Arabidopsis thaliana: one gene and its partners. The protein of the gene in region 2 purifies or fractionates together with the protein of the main gene of each other region. This does not show direct contact. Each region holds a gene or a part of one and is shown on either strand. Other genes may lie near its edges. The genes, in order: IVD, AT3G18860 and APP1.

Region 1 (8,246 bases), about 10 Mb from region 2:
GTTCATCGTATCCGGTTGTAGCCTGAGGCTGATGTTTAAACCCGTTTACACCTTACAAGGGACTGAGGCTTTTGGTTACTTGGGATGAATGGTTGAATTGTTGTGAATTTATATCACTAGGGACTTCGGAGTAATTGTTTTTTATACTTGTATGGTTATGTTTCCAAATAATATGGTTGACACTCAATAGTCGACAGAAAAAAGAAAACTATTTCCAGATAATGTCAAGAGGCCTGACTGCCTGAGACTGATGTTTAAGCCCGTTAACTTACAAGGGACTGAGGCTTTTGGTTATTTGGGATGAATGGTTGAATACTTGAATTGTTATAGATTTATATCACTTGGGACTTGGGAGTAATTTTTTTTAAGAAATTTATATGATCTAACAATGGATCCAAAATACATATAGAAACTAGTTATGAGGTAATGTGTATTTGAAATTACTTAAAAATATTATTCTCTTATCTTTTACCTATGGATTCTTTTTCATCCAAAGATAGAGTTTGTCAAATTCTCTCTCTCTCCCTCCAATAGTTAAAGATCCTTCTAATCGATTTTTTTCTCCTTTCGTGAGATTGGATCTTTCTCCCTTGGAACTCTACTATCGAAGATATCTCTATTGTTTATGAGTTGTACTTTTCTCGATTTTGTGTAATTGTTTTCCATGTACTTGTATTTTTCTATTTACCTGGCAATCTTTCAATATGCCACACTTTTGTTTCTTTCGATATGCTATTTTACAAAAATTCATGAGATCTATCTAAATTCCAAGTTATTTCATCTTCTATCTCTTCATTGGAATTCCACCGTCGTAGATATCTCAAGTTTTTGTATCGAATTTTGTGTAATCTATTGCACTAATATCTTTCCGTTTAACATATTATATTTTTGTTTTACATAAGATCTTTCAATATGTCATGGCTATTGTTTATATAGACATGCTATTTTCATAAATACATACGAGTTTGTTCAAATGCAAGTTGTTTCTTTCATTATTTTTATTTGATTCATGTCACTTCTTAAAATTACATGGTTTTTTTCTCCTTTCCATTAATCTTTGTCATTAGATGACTTTTTTTCACTGAACCTTACGTTGAAGTCTCCACCACCAAAAACAAATGCATCAGTGCAAAAAACTATAAATTTACAAGGTTAATTGTCCTTTCCTCACCTTTTCCCCACCACAAAAAGAGTCAGTTACCCCAACAAACTAACCATTATTAATTTATGTGTAAAATTTGGCTAGATTCTAATATTACCCTTTTTATACTTGTATCCAAAAAATATCGTCAACATTCAATAGAAAACAATCGAAAGAAAAAAAAAGAATACTTTATAAATTTATATATTAAACTGATTCAAAAATTAACTCCCAACCTAAAAATATATTGATTTATCGAAATATTAATTTTTTGAGTATTAATTTATAGAAATTTTGTTGTAAACATTTGTTTTGCATGTTTTTAATCTCTCTTTTTTACATCAAAATGCATTTTAGAAATGTATAAATCAAATACTTAAATTTATTGGGGTTATACAAAAATTTATATCAACGTATTAAAAGGTTATTTTTGCATTCAACCTAAACATTCGTACTACCAAAATCATGTTGAAAGGAAAAACCAAAGTATTGTGATAGAAATAAGTTGACAAATTTGTTGTGCATATTTTGTGAAATAATATGTTTGGTTTGAAATAATTTTGATTGTTGAACAAACAAAGATTAATACAGTACATACATTATATATATATATATATATATTATTGCTATTTCTATAAATGTGTGATTAATTTTTCCGATAGGAGCCGACATACTTCATAACAAAAATGGTGAATAAAGAAAGGTTATTTATTATGGTTCTGCCGAATTAGTAAATGATGGTTCTTAGGAGATCACTTTATGATTATGGATATATTGACATAATGGATGACAAACTCGTGGCTGAATGCAAAGATAGCCATGACGATCATCTGGGTGATAATGGATATATTTATGTATCTTCGCGACTTTGCATATCTATGTGGGTGTAGATGGTACACCAAAAAGTCTTTGTTCGAGACTCATCTGAATTCATGCATCTACTAACTAATTTTGTCGTCATAAATATGGATGTGAATGAGGATGATAATGAGAAGGAGTATAAGAGGAGAATTAACTATTAATAATATAATATTACCTTTTTAGATGATATATTAAGAGAAAAACTCAAAGTCGAAGGAATAATGTAGAGTTAGCAAAAATAAAACGACAATGATAATAAGCAAAGATATATCAAACTCTCGTTTTCTCATGCATGTGATTGTGATATATACCAGTCTTTCGAGTACGACACTAGATAAAATTGTTCATGTTTTAGTGACACTATTAGGAATATCATGCACCATTAATTTGATATGTTTGCTAACCATAAGAAGATACGAGGATCTACACTGGAGACCTACTAATATATTTAATATATCTAAGAAACTTTTCATTAAACCGAAGTGGAAATCTCTCAAACTTCCAACTTTCATAGCAAACAAGGCTTCATTTACCCAAATTCGAATGGAGTAAAAATATTTCGCACATAAAAGTAGAATTTTACAGAAATATCCTTTAAAATGCATCTCCATATGATACATTGTATCGCATTATGACGACTAAATCTCTCAAACTTCCAACTTTCATAACAAACAATGCTGCACTTACCTGATTTCTAATAGTTAAAAATATCTCGCACATAAAAGTGGAATTTTACATAGATATATTTTAAAATTCATCTCCATCTGATACATTGTATCGCATTATGGCGACTAAATCTCTCAAACTTCCAACCTTCATAACAAACAATGCTGCACTTACCTAATTTCTAATGGGGTAAAAACATCTTACACATAAAAGTAGAATTTTACATAGATATTCTTTAAAATTCATTTCCATTTGACACATTGTATCGCATTTTATGGCGACTAGTTTTTAGCATGTAACTTTTACAAAGTGTTGAAAATGAATATAACTCACTATTTAAAAAAAAAAGAATATAGCTTACTATACCAAAACTAAATTTTATTCAACTAACATGTTGTACATAGTCACCGTAAGTGAATACACATTGTGTTAACCAGGGAGAAGGATCAGATCAGACTTATCTTCTCTAAATAACCTCAATGAGTCAATGTTAAACACTTTTTTATCTAAAAGATTTTCTAATATATAATACAAAGGAAGAATACAAGTATGGAATACGATTTGATACAAAAAAAACTGGTAGAAACTTAAAATACCTGTGGATAAGTACGATCTATATTTGTGATCCATAATTTTAAAGTATATTATATATAACCTCATTTAACGTCGTTGTACATGAAATGAAGACACATTACATATACACTGTCTTCTACAAATATGTTATTTAACTTTCACAAAATATTATATTGACAATTTTAGTGTTACATATTCATGATGAGAGTTAATATAATATAATATTTCCTAAACACTAATGTGTTCTTCTCTCATCAACACTCACAACCAATTGTTTTGACTTGTAGTATATACATATCTTCTAATATCAAAAACTTTACTATAAATGAAAAAATAATTTTTTTTTGTCGATTTGAAAATGGTATAATAGAGCAGTGTCAGTGGTATGGAGGAGTAGCAAATAGCAAAGTGGTATACGGAACTAGATTAGATGGACCAATGACTCATTGCTCATATCTTCTTCTCAATTCCAATTTTGTAATCCTTATCTCAAATTAATTTCTATTTTTATAACTACTTAATCTCAATTAGAAGAAGCCTGCTCTCTAATAACAAAAAAAAAAAGCCGTTTGGGATTTCTTTTACACGAACACATTCTTCCGATCTTTCTTGTTTTTAACTTACCGGTAATAACGAAGATATGCAGAGGTTTTTCTCCGCCAGATCGATTCTCGGTTACGCCGTCAAGACGCGGAGGAGGTCTTTCTCTTCTCGTTCTTCGTCTCTCCTATTCGACGACACTCAGTTACAGGTTCTCTCTCTCTCTCTCTTCTCTCCATAAATCTGTGATTCTCGTTGTGTATCTGTGTGTCTGTATATTTGCCATCTTCTCGTTTGAGAGCCGAAGGAAATTGGTGTTTGGTGTTTTCTAAGTGTAGCTTTCGACTTGGATGTGTTGGGGTTTTGACATGCCAATTCGAAATGATCTGAGAGATTTGTGTCAGTTAATTTGATGATTGTGTGTTGTGGAAAATGGAATTGGGAACAACACTTCATCATTTGATTTAACTTTGTTTCAGCTGATTGACATAAGTCGTTTATATTTTTTCTTGAATGCATTTTGCGACCTAATTGTTTTTGTGACTACCATTGAAACTGCAGTTTAAAGAAAGTGTATCCAAGTTTGCGCAAGATAATATCGCTCCTCATGCAGAAAGAATTGATAAAACTAATTCATTTCCAAAGGTTTGTTGTTAACTCCTTTCTCTCACGGTTTTTGTTGCTTATATATCTCATCAAAATCTAATCTTTCGTACTTGTTTAACTAGGATGTAAACTTATGGAAGCTAATGGGTGAGTTTAATCTCCATGGAATCACTGCGCCAGGTAGATTTCTCTCCTACCACAAGATCATATGCTTCTGCTATTAGCTCAGTCATGTTTTGTTTTATGTCTAGAACGGTAGCCTAATCGCATGTTCCTCTACCTGCAGAGGAATATGGAGGGCTAGGTCTTGGTTACTTGTATCATTGTATTGCAATGGAGGAAATCAGTCGGGCCTCGGGTTCAGTTGCTTTGTCTTATGGTGCTCATTCCAACCTTTGCATCAATCAATTGGTAAATATATATCTCACAAACTATGTTGCAGTATCTGAGTTTTTGAGTCTGAGAGAGAAGATTTAATACTATTTTACAGGTGAGGAATGGAACTGCAGCCCAAAAGGAAAAGTATTTGCCAAAGGTACGGTTTCATCTTGAGCTTTTGTATCATGGTCTGAGCTTACGGATATTGTCACTGCTATGCAAATGGTTTATCAGCCAATATCACCGGTGTTGGAAATCTCACCTTATAGAAAGACCGTTTTTTATTTTCTTCATCTGTGAACTGTTGCATGTTTCTCCTGATCTTTTTCTCTTAAAATGTCGTTAGAGTTTTAGCTAACTATTGATTCACTGCTATGAAGCTTATCAGTGGAGAGCATGTTGGTGCTCTTGCAATGAGTGAACCTAATGGTAAGATATATATTTTTCGGATCAAGAGTTTGAGATTGTGAGAAGGAAACACATCAATACATACATATAGCCGATGCTTTGTTCTGATGTATACTGATTTGACTTTTTATTTCGTTACAGCTGGTTCAGATGTTGTTGGCATGAAATGCAAGGCTGAGAAGGTAGATGGTGGTTATATACTAAATGGCAACAAGATGTGGTGCACTAATGGTCCATCTGCTGAAACACTGGTAATATAGTTTAGCTCATATGTTAACTTCTGAAACTGATTTTCTATAATTTTAACAGTTTTCTACCATTTGTTGTTTTTTTGGTTTGATCAGGTTGTTTACGCGAAAACTGATACAAAAGCAGGTTCCAAAGGAATCACGGCTTTCATCATAGAGAAAGGAATGACCGGGTATGTGAATTCTCAATCTTGTTGAAACTGACTTTCTATGATCTTTAGTAAAGAACTAATGGAACAAATTCAGAGAGTGAGTTCCTTAAAACCATTTATTGTTGTGGTTGCTTTGCAGATTCAGTACTGCTCAGAAATTGGACAAACTAGGAATGCGGGGAAGCGATACGTAATCCCCATTCTCTCAAGATAAAAATATCTGTGTAAATTAAATCCCTTTTTCACTGTCTCTTTCTCTCTAACATCTGTCTCTCCTGAGCAGGTGTGAGCTTGTTTTTGAGAATTGCTTCGTTCCAGAGGAAAATATTCTAGACAAGGAAGGAAAAGGTTTTGATTGCTGAAACTCTCTTAATCTCTAGTTTGATAGATAATTTGCATTGCATGGTCTGGCTTTTCTAGTTTTATGAGGATCTAATATCTGAGATCAAAATGGTAATGTTGTGCTACATACACGCCTTGTATATTTCTTGAGTCGAGGCTACTATCCCCATCTCTATACTTGTCTGATGTACATAGTGTTTGTACGTGCAGGAGTGTATGTTCTGATGTCAGGTCTGGATTTGGAGAGACTTGTTTTAGCAGCTGGGCCCTTAGGGATCATGCAGGCATGCCTCGACAATGTTCTTCCCTATATTCGCCAGAGAGAACAATTTGGTCGTCCAGTTGGGGAATTTCAGTTTATACAGGTTGAGCTTGATCATCCTTCTCATAAACGTTTCCGAATATCTCAAACTTTAATCATAAGATTCCTAAAACAATTCTGTTGAATTTCAGGGTAAAGTTGCTGATATGTACACTGCATTACAATCTTCAAGGTAGAAAACTTCTCTCAATACTCTGGAAATTATTTTGTCCATAGAAATGTAGCTCAAGCAAAAAGTTGTTCCTTTGGCATATCAGGTCATACGTTTACTCTGTTGCGAGGGACTGTGACAATGGGAAAGTTGACCCAAAGGTAATTTGATAATAAATAACCATCCCTTCTAGTTTCCTGTTATGAAAATAGTCATGCATCACCACCGCAACCTAATACACCTGCCTTCTTGTGTATTTGCTTATTGTCTAGGACTGCGCCGGAACTATTCTTTGTGCGGCCGAGAGAGCAACGCAGGTCGCTTTACAGGTCAAGTACCCTTATTTTCCTTCATACTTAAAGTTACTGTGACACTAGCTCATAAAGCTAGATCAAACCCGAAACCAGTTTTAAGCGTTGTCTCTTGTCTTTCTAATGGTTACCAGCAAAGCAAACCTCCGAAGGGATCATAACTACACATATTGATCACCTAGTTACCTTTCCTTTAAGACTAAAAGATTTGGTTTGATGTTGCAGGCGATACAATGTTTAGGCGGAAATGGATACATAAACGAATATGCAACAGGACGCCTTCTAAGAGATGCAAAGCTATATGAAATCGGTGCAGGGACAAGCGAGATCAGAAGGATTGTCATCGGTCGCGAGCTTTTCAAAGAAGAATAGAGATAAGTCTGTTTTCTGCATTGCCAATGCGACATTTTCATTCTGTACACGTATATATAATTCACAGTGTCCTTAATAACCTCACAATAAGAAAAATAGCTTCAAGCAATCCTCTAGAAACCATATCAATTATTAGTCACATTATGTGTGACATGTTATCACGATACCAGCATGCCAATCTAACACTGACACTTCTGGTTAAACTTACTATTTTGTCATTTGATTCGTCAATAATTAGTAAAGGCAACTCTAAAAAGTTCTTAACAATAATACCAACAATCTCTTTCTCATTTTCCATCAATCTGATCACCTTTCAGTTTTCTCTTGTATCTGTATCTCTTGTAAAATCGGCGATTGTCTACCCGAAAATCTAAACTCAGAAGCAACTTCTGTCTGAACCGGACTTTCTCCAGAATCAATATCACCATTGTTATTGTTACTGTTGTTGTCGGTGTCTGGCGTTTGGATAGTCTTTTTCTTGTCTCTAACCATCCCTTGCCAGTGCCTTAACACATTTGCTAGTTGTTCTTCTAAGATTGCTCTCTTGTAGCTTGACCCCATCTAAACACATATATATATGCATCCAAATCAAATTCAGATCACTAGGTTACACTAACAGTAATAATTTATATACTAATGCAAAACGATTTAATTTAAAAATGGTGTTATATATATTGGACTAAATTACCTGAGTTACAATGGCATAAAGAGGCAATGTAATGTAGCTGCTCAAGAACTGGACTGTCACCCTATAAATCATAATATCCTTAATATTAACGATATGATTTTTAATACAAAAATATAATTTCGAAAATGTAAATAATTTGTGGGATAAAATAAATAAATTGTAGTGCTTACGCTAATACAAGTCGTGTGATTATGATCCCTTGGTTATCATGGTAGCAAGAGTTAATCCCAAATTGCCACTAATTTCATAATTAAAATTATAGATACATCACATATAACAATTTCCTATATTATTTTTCCCTTTCTTATAAATCCAAATATTAAAATCCCTATAAGAAATTAGAACTTACAGTGATCCACACAATAAATGCCATCTCGAAGGTGTTCTGTATTAGAAAAATTAATGTTGGCATTATGATGAAGCATTAGGAAAAACGACATGTAGTTTATAAAAGATTACCAGAAACAGCGTGTAGTGTAGAATGCTT
Region 2 (8,246 bases):
CTCTTGAGATTCTTTAAAATTTAGCCTTTCTCCCGTACGAAACATTAATATTACAATTAATTGGATAATAAATGGTACCTGGTGACGTCAAAGAATCAAGCCCTGGCAGCTCGTCAAGTTTCAATCCGCCAACCTTTTTCCTGAGATAAAGAACAGCACGCATATACTTTGCAGTTATATTTTGAGCATAAAAGACAAGAAAGCATACCCCGTCAGCAGGTCATATAATATGCATTGCCACGTGAAGAAAAAAAACTCAATGGACATAGAATTTAGTCGATAAGAATAGAGATCACCATAAATGATCAGATTACCTGCTTAGTTTGTATTGAGAAATTTGGGAATCATAGGCATCAATCTCCATCTGATCTGCAATCGCATCATGACGTACTGTCCAAACACGAACCACTCCATCTGAACATGCTGTCACAATATCTCCGGTTTCCAAAAACTTGGCATCCCAGATACAGCCTGGGTGTTCCAAACTCTGAACGCAGACTCCATCTGTACCAAAACAAAAATAACAAAGTAAGAACAATAGATCAACCTATAAGATCTAAACATGCTTTAAACCAAAATGTCAGTCTCTTTTCGCAAGTGATATCTATTATAACAGCTATTGCAGACCAATCTTCGTGAGCCTTTCAAACTGGTTTCTGATCAGTTGATTACTGTCTGACATACTAACAACTAACTTTCCATAGGTTGCAACTAAGTGATCAAATTTATAACACGTCTTCCACAAAAATATGATATATAGACATCTTTATTATTGAAAGAAAACTTTAAGAGCGAGCAACATACTGAAAAGTGGAGACATATTTTCCAAATTTAAACATCTCAGACCTCATATAACCTAGAAAACTGTGAAACATAAGTGAAGAACAGCCAAGGCATCAATAGAAACTAAGGAACCCGTAATCACCTTTCCATATCTTGGCATGACGATCTTCACTGGCACTAACAATAAGGCCAGACGAATGTGCGTCAACTGAATAAACAAGGGAGGTGTGGCCAACCATCTCAAGAAGAACTTCGCCACTTAGTGCCCATAACCTGATTGAACTGTTAGAAAAAATAAAATAGTGATTTACAACCTTTGCTGTGTACAAACACATGAAAGGATAAATAAGAGAAAACTCAAGTATCATATTATCCCCGGATCACAAAACTTATCCAGGTCATGCAAAAGACAACACAATTCGAGTTAAGCACATAAGGATTCACTTGGACAATGAAATTCAGTAAGGCATGAGTTTGTTGGAAGCAAATAACTTACCCATCATGTGATGCGGAAAGAAATCCTAAATCAGGCATCACAGCTAACCCTCTAACAGTATCTGCATTGTAAAATAAAAATACTTGTATAAGACAATAGTTTCTCCAATAACAAGGAATCCCTGACAACAGGCCAGTGTCTTGGCACTTCACAAGATAAGATATCTTAGAGCAGCTAGTATCAGATTCTATCTTATTTCCGGTATGCAGTTTCTCATATTGACAAGGAAATTTTGAGAGATACGAAATTTGGGAGAGAGTAATGAATTCACCTGTATGCCCTGAAAGAGTTTGCAGACTCGTTTTACCCTTCCAGAGTTTGAGACTGGCGTCACTTGAACCTGGTAAGTACAAGTAACATCAGTGAAAAATATGCCGTCAAGCCTAATCAAAAAGAAGTATATGCATCTTAAGAACAACCAAAAAATCATTTAACCTAAGCTTGCAAAACGATCATACTAGAAAATACAATCGAATAAGGAAGTCCATGGCAGCAAGAAAACAACAAAAAAAACAGAAACAAATGCATCAAATGACAGCTTTAGCTGGATCATGTACCTGAAACGAGCTCACCAGATGGCAGCCTTATCACTGCCTGGATAGGCGACTGGTGTGCATCCCAAGATTCAACAAGCTGACCGTTTCTCCATCGTTTCAGGGTTCTACAAATAAAAATAAATAAATGTAAGTTACATTACACAACAGTAGAGGGTAAATCAAAATTTGATGGATCTCTTTACCCCAGTATTACTAAAGCTAGTAAGCTACTCAAGACAATAATGCACACAATTAACACTCATAAAACCTTTACAACTACGGTTAAGATTCATATAATATCCTGTATGTGATACAATTCCTGGGAAACAGTGAAGGAAAACCGCAGGCTAGTACACTCACTGGATACTAAGTAAGAGGCATTATTGACTAAACAGTTGGTAAATGTCATACTAAGGAAATTACATGAACAGGAGGACTTACTGATCAACTGAAGATGAAACTATGTCCTCATTATCAATAGCAACACCAGTGACTTGCATCTGATGACCCTTCAATGTCTGAATATTCTCTCCATTCATCAGATTCCAAACAAAAACGAAAGTATCCATACTCCCAGAGACAAGTCTTCCTTCAGGGTATTCATCAGTTGGTGGGATCCATGCAAGTGGCCCAACAAAGCTAGTATGACCCAGCAGAATTTTCTCGGAGGTATACTTGCGCTTATCAGATGGATCCAGTGACCAAACCCTTATGGTCCTATCTCTTGATGAAGTAGCTATATTCTCATCATTACACACACAAATCCCACGAACCTGAAGATGTTGATAAACCATGAGTTTCCATTGTCACAATCACAGTTATTATTCAATTGCATAAGCTCAATAGCATAAAGACAATCACACTCCTGCCGAAAAATTGTATAAATTTGATCTATATTAATGCCATTGGCACGCAAGGTTAAACATCAAACCCTATTAGATAAAATTCTCAAATTGAGTACAAATTCGTTGAGAAGTCAACCTAATAATAAAACTAATCAAAACAAAGCTTCACACTAACTATCAAATCAGCTCATTGAATTGAAAAACCCTGGATCAAAAGCGGAACAGTGAAATTGGAATCACGAGGGTGAATTTTGCTGAACCCTACTGAATACAAGACTTAATTTCAAAATCTAGAGTAGAATCGATCACGAAAACGAGAAATCAAAACAGTAGAAAGAAGAAGTGGATTTAGCAAAGAGATCTTACATCATCATCGTGGCCATGAAGCTCGCACCTGAGCTTGTACTCGTTGAAATCGATATCCATGACCATGACTGAGAAGGAGAAGCAGCAGATTGAGAGATACCAAACGCCAAATTGCTGCGACTCAAAAAGTGACTTGAGGAAGGAGAAACACTCTGCAGGAGAAAAACTAATTTCTTATTTCCTTTCTTTTATATAAGGATAAACGTATAATAAATAACCTTTGTGGGCTTTCAAAGCCCGGCCCAATTGATAGACTGAAAATAATAATAAGCTGAATAAAGGGAACAATGAAACACGATGACGTGTCGAATTTAATAATGACGAAAAAGGAGGGGACAGTGGTTTAAATTTCCTCACCTTCCTAAGAGTACTACTTTCTACGAGAAGTGGCATAGACCGTAATTAGCAACAACCTCTGAGCCTATTTTCACAAAACGATCGTAGTCCTTCATGATATTTTTCTCGGCCATTAAATTCTTCTTCTTCTGCACTGTTTGTTTATAAATAAAACCTGGAAGCTCAGTTCCATGGTAAGCTGTCTTCTTCTATCTGGTTCCTTTCTCTGTCTGAATTTCTTTTTTCCAATAATAAATTTTACAAATGCTGTGTTCTTGATTGGCTTTTTTAATCCTCACTGAGATTTGTGCTTGAATCTTGATTATCTTGGTGAGAGTTTTTGTTTTAGACAATGTATATATGTGTTTGAGAATACAAGCTTCTTCTTTATTTTAATCCAACATTAATCAGATTGTATGAATTTGAATAAGTCTATTAAATTACAAGACATTGTTTTCGTTTTCTGTTGATAAAGTACTTTGCTATCGATTCTTATTTTGATGTGTCTTTGATCATTACCTGCAGGTGAAGTATGTTGTGTTCAACCATATGAGCTCTGATGGTGATTCTGGTAACAGGAAATTCATGAACTTTGTGATTCATTGCATCAAGAATAGAAGACTAGAAGGGGGAGGTTAATTAGATTATCTTAAGGTGTATAAAATGGAAAAAAAGAGTGTACCAAATTCTGATAAGTTGTCTCTGATTAGAGTGTTAAGAGGTATAATATGTCTGATGGTGTTAGTTTCAACAGCTTTTATGATGTTGATATTCTGGGGGTTCTTATCAGCTGTAGTGTTGAGGCTTTTCAGCATTCGCTATAGCCGTAAATGTGTTTCCTTCTTCTTTGGCTCGTGGCTCGCCTTGTGGCCTTTCCTCTTTGAGAAGATTAACAAAACCAAAGTTATCTTCTCTGGTGATAAGGTTCCTTGCGAGGATCGAGTATTGCTCATTGCAAACCACCGAACAGAAGTTGATTGGATGTACTTCTGGGATCTTGCACTGCGTAAAGGCCAGATTGGGAATATCAAATATGTGCTTAAGAGTAGTTTGATGAAATTACCTCTCTTTGGTTGGGCGTTTCACCTCTTTGAGTTTATTCCAGTTGAGAGGAGATGGGAAGTCGATGAAGCAAACTTGAGACAGATAGTTTCGAGTTTTAAGGATCCCCGAGACGCTTTATGGCTTGCTCTTTTCCCCGAGGGCACAGATTACACGTACGTTTCCTTTCTTTGGAGTATCATTCTTGTTTAGAGACCTTTTAGTTAAAAGCATTTTACAATGGAACTTTATGCAGAGAGGCTAAATGCCAAAGGAGTAAGAAATTTGCTGCTGAAAATGGCCTTCCGATACTGAACAACGTGCTGCTTCCCAGGACAAAAGGTTTCGTCTCCTGCTTGCAAGAACTGAGTTGCTCACTTGACGCAGGTTTGTCTATACTTTTGCTGGTTTGCATCAGTGATTTAAGATCCTAGGCCTTTCCTCTCTTCTTGAAAAACGCAAACTCTGATGCAACACTATTGCACTTGCAGTTTATGATGTGACCATCGGTTATAAAACCCGCTGCCCATCTTTCTTAGACAACGTTTATGGAATTGAGCCATCAGAAGTTCACATCCACATCCGTCGTATCAACCTGACCCAAATCCCAAATCAAGAAAAGGACATCAATGCTTGGTTAATGAACACATTCCAGCTCAAAGACCAGCTGCTCAATGACTTTTACTCCAATGGTCATTTCCCTAACGAAGGAACAGAGAAAGAGTTCAACACAAAGAAGTACCTCATAAACTGTTTGGCAGTGATTGCCTTCACCACCATCTGTACACATCTCACCTTCTTCTCATCAATGATTTGGTTCAGGATTTATGTCTCTTTGGCCTGTGTCTACTTGACCTCTGCTACGCATTTCAATCTTCGTTCTGTTCCACTTGTTGAGACTGCAAAAAATTCCCTCAAATTAGTAAACAAATAAACTTTCATTGCTTTCAGTTCACAACTTCACATGATGGAATATTTTTTACTTTTGTATTTCGGGGTTAAGAATCAATCCACTTTCTACTTATGCAATGTGAGGTCAAGCTGCAATATATGATTAGCTCTATTTTAGAATGTCTTCATACATTCATCTACACATGTTAGATCATAGCTTGGGATAATAAAACACAAAATACAACCATAAGACACATTTTGCCTGCTACATAACTCACAGAGCCGACCACCAACTATTCTCATTAATAAATTGTCAAATTGGGATAATGCTTCCAAGATATATCAAGTACAAGTACCTACATACTGTGCATGTGAAAGCAATTAAATTGAATTTGAGCCCCTAAGAAAATTTGAGGCCACCAAAACACCCGTGACGAGTTATCACATTGGAACATAGTAATGTCAATGTCTCACGGGTCTTCTTACTCTATAGTATAGACCATTTTCGACATTCGATATTTCCACTACATGTGCTCATGAATATGGATACTGAATAATATCAAAAGCCTGTGAACATGCTTTCATGTTAAAATTATAATTTCGTTTTATCTAAATCTCACCAGTTACGTGCCTATTCTCTCAATATAAACCCTATGAAGCAGGTAGTATAGCCTATCCTAAGCTAAGAGAAGAGCAAACCCAACAAATTGTTGAAAAGACATTTAGGTAAATACTCTCTCAAAGTATATAAAGCCATGGAGCCAAACACTAAGCTTATCGTTCTTACCTTGGTTCTTGCCTTTACACTCACGGCAGCAACCGGACAGATCTTCTGCGGTATGACTTCTACTTGTCTGAACTCTTGCAAGCCCTATGTGTAGGCTAGGAACCCAATGACCACCGGAATTGATCCCTTGGGCCCTTGCTGCAATGCCCTGTCCAAGGCCGATTTCCAGTGCCTCTGTAAGCATAAAGACAGTATCAATGTCCGTGATATCGAGCTTTGACCTCGCTGAGAAACTCCCGGAGAAGTGTGGATTAGCTGCTGCAACTTGCTAGTAGGTTTTCTTTCGGAAGGTTTCGCTTTGTGGTTTGGTTTTCATGGTTTTCTTATACTGATTTATATTGATGTTGTTGTTGTTGGTCTCTGCCTGATGTTGTTTCTGTTGTTGTTTTCTTCACTTTGTGCTGGTGCTGCTTGTTTTTTCCCGCCTACTTCAAAATAATAAACAAAACAAAAATGTTGACCGTTAAAGCACAAAAGACAGAGATCATCAACCTTCGGTCATGTGAGTGATATATAATTTATGTACAGAAAATTGATACCTCTCTGTCTATTAAATCATGATTTCATCTATTTCAGACAAATCCTTGGTCACAAAATGTAGCATCGCATATATAGCTTCTGTTTCATAATGGGAAATGTCAGATGAAGTAAACATATGAAATTGTTTATCTATATTAGCCCAGCTGCACCCAGAAAAAATTTCCAGCTCCTTCCCTCTCATTTGATGCCGTATCCGTTGCATCTCATCCCATCTACCAGAGGAGGCATAAGCGTTAGCTATTTGAATATAGCGAGACCCGTTAGATCCTTCAATGACTAACAATTTCTCTTCGACTTCCTTCACAAGCTCTGTATTCTTATTCCAGCTACAAGCATTTAAAAATGCTCCAAGAATAACGGCATCTTTTTCAACTTGATCAATACCTTCCATAAGCTCTATGGCTTTGTCTAACCTATAGGCCTTTCCATACAAATCTATCATGCAGGTATAGTGACCAGTCTCGGGAGATATGTTGTAAGCCTCTATCATCGACTTGAAGTATTTCTCACCTTCTAGAACTAAGCCGCGGTGACGACAAGCTGATAGGAGGGCCATAAACGTGATTTCATCTGGCTTGAATCCACCCTCAGTCATGTCTTCAAAGTGCTGGAAAGATTTGGCTTCATGACCATGATGAGCACAACCAGCTATCATTGCGTTGTACATAACTGTGTCTCTCTCGAAGCTACTGTCAAAGATCCTTTCAGCATACTCAACATTTCCACATTTTGAATACATGTCAACAAATGCAGTAACAAGTTTTTTATCCATTAAAATGCCTGTTCTCAAGCTGTGACCGTGAATCTCCTTCCCCGGTTCCATATAAGCTTGTAAAGAGCATGCACCAAGGACGCTGACCATGACCAAAGAATCAGGAGTATTAGTCTCATTGGCTATAAACGCACGAGCAAGCTCAAGCACAGAATCAGGTTGACGTAAATTAAGATATCCCAAAAACATTGCAGTCCAGACCACTAGATTCTTTTCAGATAAAGAATCAAATAACCTTTTCGCTTCCACCATCTTCCCCTGAGACGAGTAGCCCACGATCATTGAAGAAGCTGAATACAAGTTTCCAAAACCATATAACAAATGAGCAGACTCTGCATACTTCATATTTCCACACTTGCAATAAACATCAACAATTCCACTGCTAACAAATTTATTAGAATATGATCCATTCTTCAATACCCTAGCATGTACTTCCTTCCCAATCTTCAGGCTCTTTAAACTACTCAGAACATTTAGTACAGCACCGAAACTGTGTTCGTCCCATTTCAACCCATTTTCCTCCATACTAACAGCCATCTTCAAAGCTTCTTCTTCATAACCATTCTGTGCATACCCTGCAATCAATGTATTCCAAGAAATTGTATCATTCAGTTCTGGATTTCTCCAGAATACACTCAAAGCTTTATCAATGTCACCTTCTCTGCAATAAGCTGCAATCATTGCGTTCCTAGCCACACTATCAACAAACTCAACACACGATCCGTTAAATATATTACAGACTTCCTTAAACTTCCCACATTTCGAATACATGTGAATGAGAGAACTAACGGCAAACTTAGTTCCATCATTCCCTGTTTTCACCAAAACTCCATGCAACTGTTCGCCGTAAAAC
Region 3 (8,246 bases), on a different chromosome or scaffold from region 2:
TATAGATCGTTAGCGTTAGTTCTTTTGTGAAGCTACGTACGAGATCATAGTGAATAAAAACATGCATGCAATTGAGAAAATTGTAGCAAATAGAAAGACTCAGCTTGCTCTTTCACGTCTTATTGGGTTACGTTCCTTTCAATGAATAGCTAGCTAATAAGCATTGGTAAGTTAAAAGAATTGACCTAATCACGTTTACCAATAAATGAGATTGCGACACCAGTAAATAATCTGTTCACAATTTCACTAATAAACAAATAGAAGCTAGTGACCCTAAAAGTAAAAGCTTTAATAAAGCATACTCGAAATGTTTTTCTCTTTTCCTTTTTGGGTCAACACTGAAGTTGTTTTATGAAAAAACAATTGGGACACAGCCTCTCTCCGTCTCGCGCGTCGCCATCATTGTTGAAGCCAAAAAGGCCATGCACATCTACAGACCAATGAATTTCAGAAATATTTTGCATAATTTTAAATAGAATACTAAATATATGATATATGGTGCTAGTTTTTTTTTTCGTTTTAAAAAATGCTGATATTGTATTTTATTGTCTGATAATATATATCTATATATATACATGTAAATTTTTTGTACTTAATTTAAATAAAAACTCACTATATAGTGTGCATTCACATAAAAGATCATTTCTATATTTATAATAGTTAATTGTTGGAATTCGTTGGTTTAAAAATCCAATAGAATTCCATGGATCCTTCTGTAGTGGATTAATAGGCATGATATCTTAAAACAGCTAAGCCTTAATCTTTAGTTGTTTAAAATAACAATTAAAGATTCTCAATTACTCGATTAAGACACTAATCACCACCACAATCTTTACGATTAAAACATTGAACGGCAAAACACAACGTGGACGGTCCAAAAATCACTCACGTGGAGTAAAAATTAGATAAACTTTCCATAAATATAAAAACAGTACAATATATTGTCTCTCTTTGCCACTTTCGAGGTCCAACCTGTCTCTGGTTCCTCTACTACATCACATAACACGATTAGAGCTTTAAGCACATGGTTCGCAACTAAACAGATCTTGTCATTAGCTCCTTAGTTTAAGTTTATAAATTTCCATAAATAGTTTTCGTAAACGTGGCATTGCTAATTTGCTATGAACACAAGATTCGTCACCGATGACAGCTATAAAAGAGGAGGCTTTTCTAGATTGCTCTTGGGTTTGGTCCTAGATTCGTGGGGTTTGAGTTTTTAACATATTTTCAAAAGAAAATTCTCTTAATTAGTCTTAATTTATTGCTCTAAGTTTACAATATTCTTTCTATTTTGGTTCTTGCAGCTTTAAGCGCGATCTTGTATTATTTTCATGGTGGTCCAAACTAGTACCTGGCACAACATAGAAGCATATGGTATTATTTAACTAATAATGTTTTTAATCAATCGAAGTATACATACATTAATTTATCGGTTGATATAAAATTATATTTCCTTTTCCAGACATTAACCAATCAGATAAGATCTACATTAGCTCTAACTAACCACAGTATAATAAATACCAAATTTTTAGCATGTTCGATTCAACATTTTAAAGTACTTCTTCTTTAACATTAATCTACCAGTAGCGTTTGAAATTTCAATTACTTATAACCAATAGTTGAAATTTGACTTTTGGTTTAACTATTAACTATTATTCTCCAAAGATATGCTTCGCTTTTCTTCTAATTGTAACATTATGATTGATAATTTTCATGCAACTCCTTTTCTCTAGATCGTAGGTAGGAGGATATTAGGTTAATTTGACTACGCTAGAGATTTAAATTAGTACGCTTTCGAACAAGTCAAAAGACACCATCGGGTTAGCCACTAAGAAAGCAATCATCATATACATCAATTAATTATAATACTACTTATATACCTGTACTATATACACTCATGCATAAAAAGTAAAAACGATTCTCTCTTTATCAAATTTAGATTCTGGATCGTTAAAAAGTAGTAAAAAATGAGAAAACTTTTACAAGATAAATTTGATGAGTCACCCTCATCATATTATAGTTAGAGGCTAATAATTTATAAATAATGTCAAAACAATTTTCTCTATGTACATATTATTACGGAGCGATTACATATATCATTCACAACTTTAGTCATTTTGTTAACCCTAATATAATGTGATATCAAAACGGAATATTAATAACGTTATACATTACAATTTTTGTAATAAATTTTGATTTTAATCACTAATCAGTTACTTGTTGCCATTATATTGATCGGGGATCCCTTATTGATAGGCCCAATATGAATGAGCTCAGTTATATTTTGGGTTTTTTCTCATAGCATAAATGGCCCAATGAAAGCCTATTAAGTGATCGAAGGTCAGACGTTGGACTCCTTGTATGAAACCAACAGACTAGGCCCAAATTATCAACTCAAAATTGACCGTAACATATACGGCGCCGTTTTTGTAGACCTGAGTGTGATAAAGTGAGCTGTTAAATCTTCACTTAACCCCATTTTTAATCACGAAATTAGAGTGGTGATTAAAAATACAACTAAAGTTGTTTCAAGTGATTGTTTTCATTTATTTAAATTTTAAATTAATCCAACTTATCGTTGACGGAAAATTTGGGAGAGAATATTCTCGATGGGGAAAGGAGGAGGTTGTGTTCCGAGCAAGAAGAAGAAGCCGGCCACCACCGGCGATGGTCCCGGAATCGATGATGATAACGACGCTACTAATGCTCCGATCCAAATTGACGATGATCAAACCACCATTGACGGCGATCGAACAACGGCGACGAATACTGGAGGAACAACAACACCAGCGATTACTACTACGGCTGCTAAGATCTCGTCACCGCTCAAGATCTTCGTCGTGTTCTATTCGATGTACGGACATGTGGAGAGCTTAGCGAAGAGGATGAAAAAGGGAGTGGATAGCGTCGAAGGAGTGGAGGCGACGTTGTACAGAGTTCCGGAGACGCTTTCGCAGGAGGTTGTTGAGCAGATGAAGGCGCCGGTTAAGGATTTGGAGATTCCGGAGATTACGGCGGCGGAATTGACGGCGGCTGATGGATTTCTGTTTGGATTTCCGACTAGGTATGGTTGTATGGCTGCGCAGATGAAGGCGTTTTTTGATTCGACGGGATCATTGTGGAAGGAGCAGAGTCTTGCTGGTAAGCCTGCTGGATTCTTTGTGAGCACTGGCACTCAAGGAGGTGGCCAAGAGACCACTGCGTAAGCTTTTGCTTCTTTCTTATACTCTTTAGTACCATTTGCATTGGTTCTAAAGTATATTAGTTGAATTTGGAGTACAAGTATTGAATTGCTATAATCACAGAGTCACTATGTGAAATAAATGCAACCTTGAATTTGATGTATATAGGTGGTTGCTAAAACCTGAAAGGTTGTTGTGGTCAGGACTTTGTCTAGTACTTTAGAGGAAACTTGTCAGAGATGGCTATCATTCTGGTGAATTGCTTGCTTGATCTTTAATTGCTTTCTTAACTACACCATTGACCATTTCAAGTCCAATCTGGTCACCATTGAATAGTACCCTGGTCTCTCTTTTGGTACGATAGGCTTGCACTTATGCTACGCTTATGTTAGCTCTAGTAAGGGGAGATCTTTAGAACATGTAAAACTGGATTATTTTAGATTCTCACTTTCTCATCACCCAAAGTACCAATTCTATAGGCATGAGTGTTGCCTCCGATAATTTGCATGTGTTTAAGCTCTGAGATAGATTCCTCAATGTATGTGGACTCTCTTTAGTCATCATTTGCACTTAGATATTTGTCTGTTTTACTTCAGCTGATTCACTCGGTTGCTGTGATAGTTTGCGAATATAGAGAAGCATAACAATGCGGAATCTTAAAGCTTTTGCGTATTTCTCCAAGTGTGCAATGTGGATATTTTTATTGCCATCGTTTCCACATTAAAGCTCAGAAACACTTGCTGATTTCCATCTCGTGTGTGTTCTGTTGCAGATGGACAGCAATCACACAGCTTGTGCACCATGGGATGCTATTTGTACCAATAGGCTACACATTTGGAGCTGGAATGTTCAAGATGGACTCGATACGTGGAGGCTCTCCTTATGGAGCAGGTGTGTTCGCTGGTGATGGGTCAAGAGAAGCAACAGAAACAGAATTGGCTCTTGCTGAACATCAAGGAAACTACATGGCTGCAATAGTCAAAAGACTTGCTCAACCTTAAAACAAAAACAAAAATTGCTTCCTCTATTTGTCTCTTTTCATTCAATTCCTCCTCCTGCTAAATAATCATAAAAAAAAAAATCTTCCTTTCTTTTCTCAATTCCATCGAAATTTCTTTCTTTTCTTTATGAGTGTTTTCAGTTTCGCCATTAATGGTTAGTGTGTACATGTTTCTTTATATTATTTGTCTCTTATTTATTCCTTGTTGTAAAATAAAAACAAAATTTCATTACGTGTTCTTTCATTGGAGTTGTTGATTGGATATTTTATCAAAAACTTATAATTTCACAAATCGTTAAAGTGTAGGAAAAAAAAATAATTAGTTGCGTCAGCCATTAGGATTCCTTGGAACACGTAAAGTTTACTAACATAAAACTGTGATATCTGTACTTTTTTATATCTATCTGCTGCTGCATCTGTGTTCTGTTCGTCCTTGAAGCAGTCAAATTCTTCTCTGAACTCCAAACATCGCCATGTCCGAGATTCTCTCTTCGTTGAGGTCACTAATGGCCTCTCACTCTCCTCCTCTTGATGCTTTGGTTGTTCCTTCCGAAGACTATCACCAGGTTTGATTTATTTTCAATTGAATTACCCTTTTTTGATTCATGATCCGATCTCAGATTACTTGATTATACGTCTACTATTACTTAATCATGTATTGTTCATTGATTTGAGTGAAAGTTTCGATTTTTAAATTGTATGTAGAGCGAGTATGTTTCTGCACGAGACAAACGCCGTGAGTTCGTGTCTGGATTCAGTGGAAGTGCAGGTCTGTTTCTATTTTCTATTGTTCTGGATTCAAATATTGTTAGAATTGAATCGTTGATCGAGAGTGAATTGAATTTGATCGGCGATTATAAATATATAGGTTTGGCACTTATCACGAAGAAGGAAGCAAGACTTTGGACAGATGGTCGATACTTCTTGCAAGCATTGCAACAGCTTAGCGATGAGTGGACACTAATGCGGATGGGAGAAGATCCTCTTGTTGAAGTTTGGATGTCTGATGTTAGTCCTCAACTAATCTTTTGATCAATCCATAAATTTTGTAACTTTGAGATGTGTTCTTTGATTTAGCTTATGGTTTAACAATGTAGAATCTACCTGAAGAGGCAAATATAGGTGTTGATTCATGGTGTGTCTCGGTAGACACTGCGAATAGATGGGGGAAATCGTTTGCCAAGAAGAATCAGAAACTAATCACCACAACTACTGATCTTGTGGATGAAGTTTGGAAGAGTCGTCCACCTTCTGAGATGAGTCCGGTTGTTGTTCATCCTTTGGAGTTTGCTGGCCGTTCTGTTTCCCATAAATTCGAAGATTTGAGGGCAAAGCTTAAGCAAGAGGGTGCTCGTGGTTTGGTCATCGCTGCTCTTGATGAGGTGTGTTTTCGTAGTAAAAAGATCTCTCTTTTTCTCAGTTCAGCTTTGGAATGTATTTTGATTGGGGGTTTGATGCAGGTTGCTTGGCTATATAATATCCGTGGAACTGATGTTGCTTATTGTCCCGTTGTTCATGCGTTTGCAATCCTTACCACCGACTCTGCGTTTCTCTATGTTGACAAAAAGAAAGTGTCTGATGAGGCAAACTCTTATTTCAATGGGCTCGGTGTGGAAGTCCGGGAATACACAGATGTGATCTCAGATGTGGCCTTGCTTGCTTCGGATCGACTTATTTCTTCATTTGCCTCTAAAACTGTCCAACATGAGGCTGCAAAGGATATGGAGATTGATTCTGACCAGCCTGATCGGTTATGGGTGGATCCTGCTTCGTGCTGCTATGCACTTTACTCCAAATTGGATGCTGAGAAGGTCCTTCTGCAACCATCCCCTATATCCCTCTCAAAAGCCTTGAAGGTAATAAAGAATGATTTTTGAAACGAGTGATCTCTTTCGACGTGTTTTAGTTTATTCATACATGCTTATTCTCACTTATGTTAGAACCCGGTTGAGCTCGAAGGGATCAAGAATGCACATGTTCGTGATGGTGCTGCTGTTGTCCAGTACCTTGTTTGGCTCGACAATCAGGTACTGAATAAATGAAAATTTTGTTTCTTGAACACTACTACTATATTGATGATTGATTATGTCACTCAACATTGTGAAACCATAGATGCAGGAGCTCTATGGAGCATCTGGATACTTCTTGGAAGCAGAGGCAAGCAAAAAGAAACCATCGTAAGCTTCTTCTTTCTTCTTTGTTTTGTTTTTCCCGATTTTGCAAACCATTTTTCCATGATTCATGACGCAATGAGTTTTTCTTCTGCAAAAAACAAAACAATACAGAGAAACCTCTAAGCTTACTGAAGTGACTGTGAGCGATAAGCTGGAAAGTCTTCGAGCTTCAAAAGAGGTAATGTTTACATATAACATATTAAACTTTTGTCTTTCCATGAAAGAGATGAATCACATTTCTCGTGTGGTTGCAGCATTTTAGAGGTTTAAGCTTTCCTACTATATCATCGGTTGGTTCAAACGCTGCTGTTATTCATTATTCACCAGAGCCAGAAGCTTGTGCCGAGATGGACCCCGACAAAATTTACTTATGTGATTCAGGAGCACAGGTAAATATCACATGATTGAGTGTATACTATAAGCTTACCTTGTATTTATCAAAGTCTTTGCTCTATAATACAATTTCGTTGTTGTTGTCTTTCTGCAAAGTATCTCGATGGAACAACTGATATAACCCGAACGGTTCACTTTGGAAAACCTTCAGCTCATGAAAAGGAATGCTATACTGCGGTATGTACTTATTGATGATAACCTTTTGAATATTACATTCTTATTTATTTGGAATAAGCATATTTGCTGATATATGTTCAATGTGCCGCATCCTTAGGTCTTCAAGGGTCATGTTGCACTAGGAAATGCTCGGTTTCCAAAGGGAACAAACGGTAAGTTATGATCTCCTTGAATTTTGTTTCTGTACCAACTTGAGATTTGGCTATTGATCTTTTATATGTTGCATTGGCTATATCTGAATTTACAGGCTATACACTTGATATTCTTGCTCGAGCTCCTTTGTGGAAGTATGGGTTGGATTATCGACATGGTACTGGTCATGGAGTTGGTTCTTACCTTTGTGTTCATGAAGGCAAGTTATGAGATACCTCTTTTTATTCTCTCTTTCTTATAAATATCGAGTCATTGATAATAATGTTTTTGAAATTCTAGATGTCATCAACTAACTTTCTGCGATGATTATGTATGGTTTAATATGTAGGACCTCACCAAGTTAGTTTCAGACCGAGTGCCAGGAATGTACCTCTTCAAGCTACCATGACTGTAACAGATGGTCCGTCTGCAACAAAAACTCGGTAGTTCTCCTGTTCGGGTTAACCTTGATCATATTCTAAAAGCTGTCTATATTCATTTATTTGCAGAACCTGGTTACTATGAAGACGGGAACTTTGGTATTAGGTTGGAGAATGTTCTTGTTGTCAATGACGCTGAGACTGAATTCAATTTTGGCGACAAGGGCTACTTGCAATTCGAGCATATCACTTGGGTACTTACTCGTTGTCTGTTAACTAATACCGTAGTTCTCATATCAACATGCACATCTGAGTAACTCTCGATCTCTCTCTCTCTCCAGGCACCATATCAAGTGAAACTTATCGATCTAGACGAGTTGACACGGGAAGAGATTGACTGGTTAAACACATATCATTCGAAGTGCAAAGACATCTTAGCCCCATTTATGAACCAGACTGAAATGGAATGGCTCAAGAAAGCTACCGAACCTGTAAGTGTATCCGCTTGATCCCCTCCCAGATTTCTCTTAAATAGATGTTTATCAATGGCTCCTTCACTTCTCTCACTAGTAAACCAAAAACATTCAAGTCATACACAGATTATTTTCTTTAGTTTTGCATTCAAAGTTCATGTTTCTGGACCACATGTCTTTATTCATAGCAGATTCTCAGTTGTTGAACCATAAAGAGAACATTATGTTTATCGTTTTGATATTATTAAATTGTCAACTTTTTGCTAATTAGTTTTAGGTGAAGTAAGCAGATGGAATGTGAGTCATGTTGAGAGCTTCTTCTGCTGTCTTCTTCA

Evidence for each region.
Region 1: the proteins of AT3G18860 (region 2) and IVD fractionate together in Arabidopsis thaliana (co-fractionation; one large-scale study listed by BioGRID). This does not show direct contact.
Region 3: the proteins of AT3G18860 (region 2) and APP1 fractionate together in Arabidopsis thaliana (co-fractionation; one large-scale study listed by BioGRID). This does not show direct contact.

The regions. Positions count from the first base shown.
Region 1 is NC_003074.8:16,620,484-16,628,729, reverse strand, and holds IVD (isovaleryl-CoA-dehydrogenase), read left to right. Parts: upstream 1-3,686; 5' UTR 3,687-3,881; coding exon 3,882-3,992; intron 3,993-4,342; coding exon 4,343-4,426; intron 4,427-4,509; coding exon 4,510-4,567; intron 4,568-4,673; coding exon 4,674-4,798; intron 4,799-4,877; coding exon 4,878-4,922; intron 4,923-5,145; coding exon 5,146-5,194; intron 5,195-5,314; coding exon 5,315-5,424; intron 5,425-5,517; coding exon 5,518-5,594; intron 5,595-5,712; coding exon 5,713-5,763; intron 5,764-5,856; coding exon 5,857-5,921; intron 5,922-6,125; coding exon 6,126-6,280; intron 6,281-6,368; coding exon 6,369-6,409; intron 6,410-6,494; coding exon 6,495-6,549; intron 6,550-6,660; coding exon 6,661-6,717; intron 6,718-6,924; coding exon 6,925-7,071; 3' UTR 7,072-7,278; downstream 7,279-8,246. Other genes in the region: AT3G45310 (Cysteine proteinases superfamily protein), read left to right, coding at 1-26; MLO3 (Seven transmembrane MLO family protein), read right to left, coding at 7,378-7,632, 7,760-7,820, 7,930-7,997, 8,109-8,144, 8,219-8,246. UniProt on the Arabidopsis thaliana protein: Involved in degradation of the branched-chain amino acids, phytol and lysine for the supply of carbon and electrons to the ETF/ETFQO complex during dark-induced sugar starvation.
Region 2 is NC_003074.8:6,496,620-6,504,865, reverse strand, and holds the start of AT3G18860 (transducin family protein / WD-40 repeat family protein), read right to left. Parts: upstream 3,199-8,246; 5' UTR 3,093-3,198; coding exon 3,027-3,092; intron 2,589-3,026; coding exon 2,257-2,588; intron 1,941-2,256; coding exon 1,837-1,940; intron 1,620-1,836; coding exon 1,551-1,619; intron 1,341-1,550; coding exon 1,280-1,340; intron 1,066-1,279; coding exon 926-1,065; intron 505-925; coding exon 315-504; intron 141-314; coding exon 79-140; intron 1-78. Other genes in the region: LPAT5 (lysophosphatidyl acyltransferase 5), read left to right, coding at 4,026-4,579, 4,660-4,790, 4,895-5,337; AT3G18840 (LOW protein: PPR containing-like protein), read right to left, coding at 6,632-8,246.
Region 3 is NC_003075.7:17,322,033-17,330,278, forward strand, and holds the start of APP1 (aminopeptidase P1), read left to right. Parts: upstream 1-4,584; 5' UTR 4,585-4,655; coding exon 4,656-4,748; intron 4,749-4,887; coding exon 4,888-4,951; intron 4,952-5,050; coding exon 5,051-5,190; intron 5,191-5,279; coding exon 5,280-5,564; intron 5,565-5,642; coding exon 5,643-6,038; intron 6,039-6,122; coding exon 6,123-6,209; intron 6,210-6,294; coding exon 6,295-6,359; intron 6,360-6,467; coding exon 6,468-6,534; intron 6,535-6,610; coding exon 6,611-6,745; intron 6,746-6,845; coding exon 6,846-6,926; intron 6,927-7,023; coding exon 7,024-7,078; intron 7,079-7,173; coding exon 7,174-7,278; intron 7,279-7,407; coding exon 7,408-7,479; intron 7,480-7,567; coding exon 7,568-7,692; intron 7,693-7,779; coding exon 7,780-7,929; coding exon of another isoform or gene 7,930-7,947; exon of another isoform or gene 7,948-8,182; coding exon of another isoform or gene 8,183-8,246. Other genes in the region: AT4G36750 (Quinone reductase family protein), read left to right, coding at 2,610-3,202, 3,955-4,183; AT4G36770 (UDP-Glycosyltransferase superfamily protein), read right to left, coding at 8,185-8,246. UniProt on the Arabidopsis thaliana protein: Catalyzes the removal of a penultimate prolyl residue from the N-termini of peptides, such as Arg-Pro-Pro. Aminopeptidase that binds to the auxin transport inhibitor N-1-naphthylphthalamic acid (NPA).